2 linked regions of the Mus musculus genome follow. The protein of the gene in region 1 interacts with the protein of each later gene in a pairwise test. Links are inferred from orthologs where the notes say so. Each region holds a gene or a part of one and is shown on either strand. Other genes may lie near its edges.

Region 1 (3,897 bases):
TCCTTTTACCCAAGGAGGGGCAGGTATTGTTTGCAAGGAAATTCATTGGGCATTTTGTATTTAATTATATATAAAACGAGCTCACTGGATTGAGTTGCCCAATAAATTTTTATACAATTCCTGAGTAGACACTATATATGTATATATATATATATATACATATATATTCCCTTTTAAAATGTACTTTTCTCTCATACAATCCCTTTGACTGCAGTTCCCCCTCCCTCAACTCCTCCCAGTTACCCCCTTCCCCCTCTTCCCCAGCTGCATTGCTCCTCTGTTTTATAACATTTTATAATATATTATTGAAAGATGTTTCACCCACCTGAATGACACATTTGAAGGAATAATGATTCTGTCTATTATTGGGCATTTACTGCATCTGCCTACTTTCCTTGATTTTTGTTGTAGTTAAATGCATGTGATAAAACTATAATCCTAGCCATCTTCAGGGTACAGTGTATATGGCATACAACAATCACTGCTCTTTACCTTCATGGATAATTTTATTTTGCAAATAAACAAACAAATAAGAAGCTAGGTCTATGAAAAGAAAGCTTTCCATACCTCAGCCATGCTTTTACAAGATTTAATTTTCATTAAATTTTAAAGGTCGGGCTACAGTAATGAAGAAGTGACCATGCATAGCAAGCAGGTGAGTATTTATTGTTGAGGCATTTTCTAAGTACTTTGAGCATATTCACTCACATAATTATTAGCAAGCATGCGTTTTGCACATGGGAGAGATGTATTTGTGGAATGGATTTTGGTACCAAGCAAACATTTCCCAGTAAATCTTGTCAATCTAGATGGAGTGTTAGAAATGTTCCTATGGGGCAAAAATCTGACAGTAAGTAGGTTTAAAGAAGTCTTCCTTTTAGCCACTTTTAGACAGGGACACTGAGGGAAGTTGTTTCTAAATGCTCAAGAACATCGGAAGTGACTCAACTCGGTTAAGGTCTTCCAGAAGACTCAGGAAGGGAAGACTTTAAAGTCAGCTTGGGTCTCCGCTCAACCAAGAGCTGGAGGACAAGGGGCGTGGCCTCAAGTGGGCGGGCACCGTTGGGGCGTGGCCTGGAAGCGACAGGGCGTGGCTGTCTGACCGGGGCGGGGCGCCGGCAGCGGGCGCGATGGCGGCTGACGGGGACTGGCAGGATTTCTATGAGTTCCAGGAGCCGGCCGGGAGTGTCCAGGAACAGGAGAACTGTAACGCGAGCCCGGAGGCTGGCGCGGGGGCACACGCGGGCGGCGACAGCTTCCCGGCGCTGGCTTCCAGCCTGGAGGAGAAGCTGAGCCTGTGCTTCCGCCCCACGTCGGAGGCCGAGCCCCCACGGGCGGCCGTGCGGCCCATCACGGAGTGCAGCCTCCTGCAAGGGGACGAGTGAGTGCGGGCCCCGGAGCGGGCGGGCGGGCGGGAGCGGCCCCAACCTCGCCCTGCCCCCGCCGCAGCCGGGAGTCCCCACAGGCCCCGCCCCGCGCCCTCCTTCTTCCTCGGTCGCTCTGAGCCCCGCCCCGGGGCTGCCGGCCTGGCCCTGGAGTTTAAATGCCCGCTGTTGCCCTGCCTTCCTTCCCCTTGAACCCTCCTGCAGACCCCTGTGTGCTTCCTTGTGGAGACCCTGCCTCCTGGGGCACGTGTGGCTCAGTTCATTCATTCAACTCGCTTTTCTTAAAGCCCCTGTCATGGGGCCTGGCACTGGGGATGCCGAAGTGGGCATTGCTCCTCTCAAGTAGGACACAAAGTGGGATGGGACATAGGTTGGTTAAGCACATGTTTTCCGAGTGTAATGAGTACTTTGATAGGTATTTGTACCGGATACGGGAGATTTCAAAGGGGATGTCCGAATGAAGACTTTATAGCCGCTAACTGAATCCTTGATGGAGATCTGGGAGTTAGGCAGAGTGCAGAGGTGTGAGTTACCATTGAAGTTATAGAAGTCTCTTGGGCCCACAAGAACAAACTGTCACAGAGGCAAAAAGTAAATGGTAGCCCTTACTAATGATATCTAATAGTGTATCCAGAAGACCAGTGCACAGCAGCAATGGCTCCCGTTTTCTCTGTGATTAGCTTCAGTGTGATGACATTCACAGGGGTTGATGAAAGCGCTTTATTCAGACACTTTTAAACCCAATTATTGTTTGTTTACACGAGAGTTGTAATTATGTACCGCATCTTTTCGTGAAAATCTAGCCAAAAGAATGGTGCGAGCCAGTGAGCTCGAGTGTTTTGTTTGCAGGGTGAGTGGAGACCCTAAGAGTACTGGCCCTCTTGGAAGGTGATGGGTAGGACCCGTTTCCAGAACATTGGGAACACAATGGTGGCCGGAGACACTACATGTTAGTGAGGAGAATTGAAACAACAGCATTTTTTATTACATCTTAATAATTTTGTGTGAGTACTTGTGTGATTGTGGACGGGTAAAGCAAGCCTGTCAGACGCATCCTTGGAGTCAGACCACTTGTACAGTCAGCTTCTCTCTCTCTCTCTCTCTCTCTCTCTCTCTCTTTTTTTTTTTTTTTTTTTTTTACAGATCCCAGGTCTCCGGGGTCATTGGTCTTGCTTGATGCCCGGTATCTTTAGGCACCAAAACCATGGGAGGAATTCTTGAACTATGATAAGATTCATGGCATTAAAGAGTTTTAATTTCTCAAGGAATTAGGAAATTTACCAAGAGAGAGCAGAGAGAGAGGACCTATGCTAACATGGGTGACTAGCCATGTTCTCCTCAAGGGCAGTGGAGGTATAAGTGTATGGTGGGAGTTTAAATGCAGAGATAAGCATGCGGTGCACAGCAAAAGGTGACTTTTGTAGATTTTCCCCAAAGAGCAGATGGCTTCCTCTATGTAGATTTATAGACTTGAATTATTGAGACTTACTGCACATTCAGGATTTTTAAATTTATATTTATGAGTACTTTACTTAAAACAGATGAGTGAGTGTAGCTTGTACCAGGATTCTTAGAGAAGACCTATTTTGGGTTCAGCTGGACTTTCTGGAAAGTTTATTTTAGCCTGTGCTTCAGAGTTAGGTGGCTGTAAAATCTAAACTATTTTGTTGCTTTTCCTGTTTTGTGTCTTGCAGCCCATGCTGGCCTTGAACTTGCTTTGCAGTTCAGGCTGACCTTGAACTCCTGGTCTTCCTGCTGCCCTTCTTGTGCTAAAATTATATGCATAAGCTGCTAAGCCTGGTTTTATTTTATTACCCTTTTCCCTCCATTTGGAGTCTCATGTAGCTCAGGCTAGCCTCAAACTCATTTTGTAGTGAGGATGACCTTGAACCTCCATCTTTCTGCCTTGGTCTCTTGCGTGGTGAGATTAAAGGTGTACACTAACACACCCAGTTTTCTGTGGTGTTGGGACTTAACCCCAGGGCACATGCATGCTAGGCAAGTATTCTAGCCTTTCCCCTTCGTTTGTAGCCCAAGTTGCCCTTGACAGTGGTTTTTAGTAGGTGGTGTGTTGGGGAGAGTGCATGTCTCCTGAATTGGGAATGTGTAAACGATCTTTTCAGAGAGCTAGGGCTCACTTCTTCTGTGTCCTCTCTCTTGTATACATTTGCTTTGTGGGGTCAACTGTAACCTGTTTCAGTGGTTAGAGAACCCCTTTGCCCATTTGCTGCCATGACTTGGGTCTTTTACTTGACTCCCTTGAGTTTTGGTTTCAGTTTCTGTCCGTATGGATTGTACTTATCTGCTCTAGGAGAGCCACTGTCCCTGGGACTTTGACTCCATAGGGAGCTCTCTTAGCAGCTATTTATGACAGGTTGTAATATCTTATGATAAAGATGACGGCAGAGAGAGGCTTGCTTGTTGTTCTCTTTTTTTTCTTGGACTCTGGAACCCACAGCTACTCCTTCTGGGAGAGCTACTCCACTGTCTTTATCTTCTGGCCTCTTTTAAG
Region 2 (3,914 bases), on another chromosome or scaffold:
CACATGCACACACACATATACATACATATACACATACATATAATTAAAAAAAAAAGAAGGGGTTGGAGAGATAGTTCAGCAGTTAAGAGCACTGGCAGCTTTTCCAGAGGATCCAGGTTCAATTTCCAGCGCCTACATACATGGCAGCTCACAATGTCTGTAACTCCAGTTCCAGGAGATCCAACACTCTTTTCTGGCGTCCTCAGGCACCAGGTACCCAAGTGTTTCAGAGAAATAAATGCAAGTAAAATATACATACAATAAAAAATTAAAACCAAAAACAAATTTTCAGGCCCATTTCTATGACTGGCCCATGTGCATTTGAAAAGAAAGTGTGTTCTTCACTATCTTGGAAAATCCCATCCTTCTTTGAATGTTGCCCATATTCATTCTATTTTGTTGGCACTCCTCTTAGCGTTACCTGGGGTTTCCCTCTCTTCCCATATTCTCCTTCCTTCAAATCCTGAATTGTAGTCCAAGCCTAATACTTTCGTCTCAAACACTAAATGGTAGGTACTTTATTTATAAAGGATTACGGTCACGTGTTAGCAAATCCTGCTTGATTGGTTTAAGATACCCGGGAGTTGTAGAAATGGCTCAGAAGTTAACAGTACTTATTGCTCTTTCACGGGAAGCTGAGTTGAGTTCTCATCATCCTCACCAAATGGTTCACAGCCACCTGTAACCCCAATCCCAGGGGTCTGATTCCCTCTTCTGGCATCTGCAGGCACCTTGCACAGGCACAAGCAAGTACATACACACCGCTACATATTCATGCAATTAAAAATAGAACCTTATATAAGAAAGAAAAGCCAAGAAGAAAGTATTTGTAAGCTGGCCTCTACAGCTCAGAGGTTTTGATAAAGTCAAAGCAAGAATGCTTTGCAGGTAAGAATATACTGTGGTCACTGACCGCTAACAGCAAGATACTTGTTTCAAAGGTTAGGTTATAATGAAGTGTCACGAAAATCACCTAGCAACCCAAAGTCTGGCATTGTACATGTACACTTGAATAAGAAACACAATTTTAATTAAGCCTTGGGTTTTCTGAGACTGAGATCAGGAGACTGCTGATCTAAGGAATCATGACGTGGTCGGGTGAACGGAAGTTTAAAAATTGTCCTGAATATGGGGTACGAAGAGAAACATCCATTAATGGTATATGCTTTGTGCGTTATCTAATTTTAGAAGTGGGGAAAAAGGAAACCGTGCTTTTAGAATCGAGGGGGGAGGGCGCTGCACTGTTCTGCTCACTCTGTTCTTGAATGTGAACGAAATATCTCTCTCCTAGAGTCTGGTCACGGCAATTTCCAGAAATTCTGTCTCTGTTTCCCTCCCTCTCTCCCCGTCTCTCTTTTTTTAACCTAGAGTGACTTTCCACCCCACTTTCCAGGTTCCTGGCGAGACAAAAGATGCTCAGCGAGGACCGCTTTCTTAGGCGCATCTTCTCTTCTGCGCCGTGATTGGTCGCTGCTTTTTTAGGACACGCCCAAAAATCCTGATTGGTCGTCAATGCCCTTTTGTTAGGGCAAAGGTGGACCCCGGTGCTCTGCCACAGGCCTGTCGAGGCGTCCAGCAGCCAGTGCGCAGGCGTGCAATTTCCAGTTAGGATTGGTGGGAGGACGCCTCCTCGCTCGGCGCACGCTCCGTGGGCGGGAAGGGCGGGGCTGACGCTGTCAGTTGGTCGGAGAGCCGCGCGGCCTGAGGCTTCCTACCCATCCCGCCTCTTCCCGGCGCTTCAGACGCAAGGTGAGGCGGCTCGGGGCGGCGAGGGCTGGGCCTGGGAGACCGCCGAGGCCCTGTGGGGCGGGGCGGGATGGAACGGGAACCCGGGCGGCGGCCTGGGTGCTGGATTGCGGCGCCGCGAGGCCCGACATCCCGCCGAGCGCTGCGCAGCCACCTTCCCGGCCCCACGCCGCGGGCTCAGTGGGAAGAGCCCGGCGGTGCGGGACCGGGACGCCGTGGGGGTGCGATGGGACCGGGTAGTAGGAGAAGACGCTCTGCTGCCCGAGCTACCTTCCAGTTCGCCGCAATTCTTCTGCTTCAGCCTCTCGAGTGCTAGGATTGCTTTGCAGGCGTGGTGGCCCGTGCATGTCTGGGGTGGGACGTCTTTGCTAGAACCTGGGTTTGTTTCTTTGTCAGCTTTTCTCAGGCGTCCTGCGGAACAAATATTGAGGAGTAAGGTTTGGGAAGGAGAAATCATAGTTTCCCGAAAAGCCAAGGTTTCTGTTACACCACCAGAGACAGACGTCGCAATAGCCAGAAGGACAGAGGTCCCCAAACCGTTATCCGTTTCTGCGACTCAAAGCTGTGCGTAGGAATCCTAGTGTCTGTATGCTCCAATGATTAAACTGGATGCAGCTAGCTCCCCGGGGATCTAACTTAAGTTTGATCCTTATTGACGATGTAGTTCCTCGATTTCCATCGATTTTGAAAGCCCTAAAATGTCAAAGCAGAACATGAACAGATTAGAAACATCACACTGGAGTGGATGCAGATGAAATTTTATATTTGTTTTGTTTGTGGAAACGCCAAAGGAGTTGAGTTTTTCAAACTCAGTTTAGGACCTTAATAATATCTTGGCTATGAAACATGAGGCAAGGCCTCTAGCCTTTATAAGGCTTAGTATCCACATCTGTGAATTGCATTTTCTTTCTGTTGTGATAAAACTATATATGTAAAGTGTTCAGTGCATTCCTGTAGTGCATTGGACTTTTAAATTTAAAAAACTATTGCTGGTGAGTGGATGATGGATGGAAAACATTAATTGCAGGTTCAAGAGAAGTCTGGTGGTTGAGTTTGAAAGGATATTAGGGAAATGTCAAACTCATATCTGAGATGTTAAGGCCAGCCGAGGTGGAATGATGGGAAAAGCAGAGTGGACATTGACTATATCCTTGATTCTGGATGGACTACTGTGATGTGAATTAAGCCACTCTCAGATTAGGCCAGGAGTTCTAATATGAGGCCTTTGGCCACATGATTTTTCTAAAGTTTCTTCTGTGGTCAAAACAAGAGAGTAGAGATGAGAAGGTCTGTTAACATCTGTTGAATACTTACTAAGTACACAAACACATAGCTGGATGTATTAAATTCCCAGAACAAACCCATAAGATGCAGTTATTAGGCCCATTTTATGGATGAGGATGCTGAGGCTGAGATTTTTTTAATTATATATTTTCTTTTTTTATATTTCAAATGTTATCCCCTTTCCTAGTTTTCCCTCCGAAGATCTCCTCCCCCATCGCTCCCTAACCCACCTACTCCCATTCCTGGTCCTGGCATTCCCCTATACTGGGTCATAGAAACTTCACAGGACCAAGGGCCTCTCCTCCCATTGATGGCCGACTAGGCCATCCTTTGCTACGTATATAGCTAGAGCCACAAGTTCTACCCATGTGTTTTCTTTGGTGGTTTAGTTCCAAGGAACTTTGGGGTTACTGGTTAGTTCATATTGATGTTCCTCCTATGGGGCTTCAGTCTCCTTCAGTTCTCTGGGTATTTCTCTGGCTCCTTCATTGGGAACCTTGTGCTCAGTCCAAAGCATGACTATGAGCATCCACTTCTGTATTTGCCAGGCACTGGCAGAGCCTCACAGGAGACAGCCATATCAGGCTTCTGTCAGCAGGTTCTTGTTGGCAACTGCCTAGTGTCTGGGTTTGGTGATTGTTTATAGGATGGATCCCATAAACATGGGATGGGGCAGTCTCTGGATGGTCGTTCCTTCAGGTTCTGCTCTGAACTTTGTCTCTGTAACTCCTTCCTTGGGTATTTGGTTCCCCATTCTAAAAAGGAATGAAGTACCCACACTATGGTCTTCCTTCTTTGTGAGTTTCATGTGTTTTGCAAATTGTATCTTGGGTATTCTAAGTTTCTGGGCTAATATCCATTTATCAGTGTGTGAGATTAGATTA

The links.
Region 2: the proteins of Fez2 (region 1) and Scoc interact in binary tests that used the Homo sapiens proteins (3 or more experiments, as listed by UniProt). The link is inferred for Mus musculus from reciprocal best matches to the Homo sapiens genes FEZ2 and SCOC.

What each region holds. Positions count from the first base shown.
Region 1 is NC_000083.6:78,415,317-78,419,213, reverse strand, and holds the start of Fez2 (fasciculation and elongation protein zeta-2), read left to right. Parts: upstream 1-1,061; 5' UTR 1,062-1,130; coding exon 1,131-1,381; intron 1,382-3,897. UniProt on the Homo sapiens protein: Involved in axonal outgrowth and fasciculation.
Region 2 is NC_000074.6:83,440,257-83,444,170, reverse strand, and holds the start of Scoc (short coiled-coil protein), read left to right. Parts: upstream 1-1,508; 5' UTR 1,509-1,749; intron 1,750-3,914. UniProt on the Homo sapiens protein: Positive regulator of amino acid starvation-induced autophagy.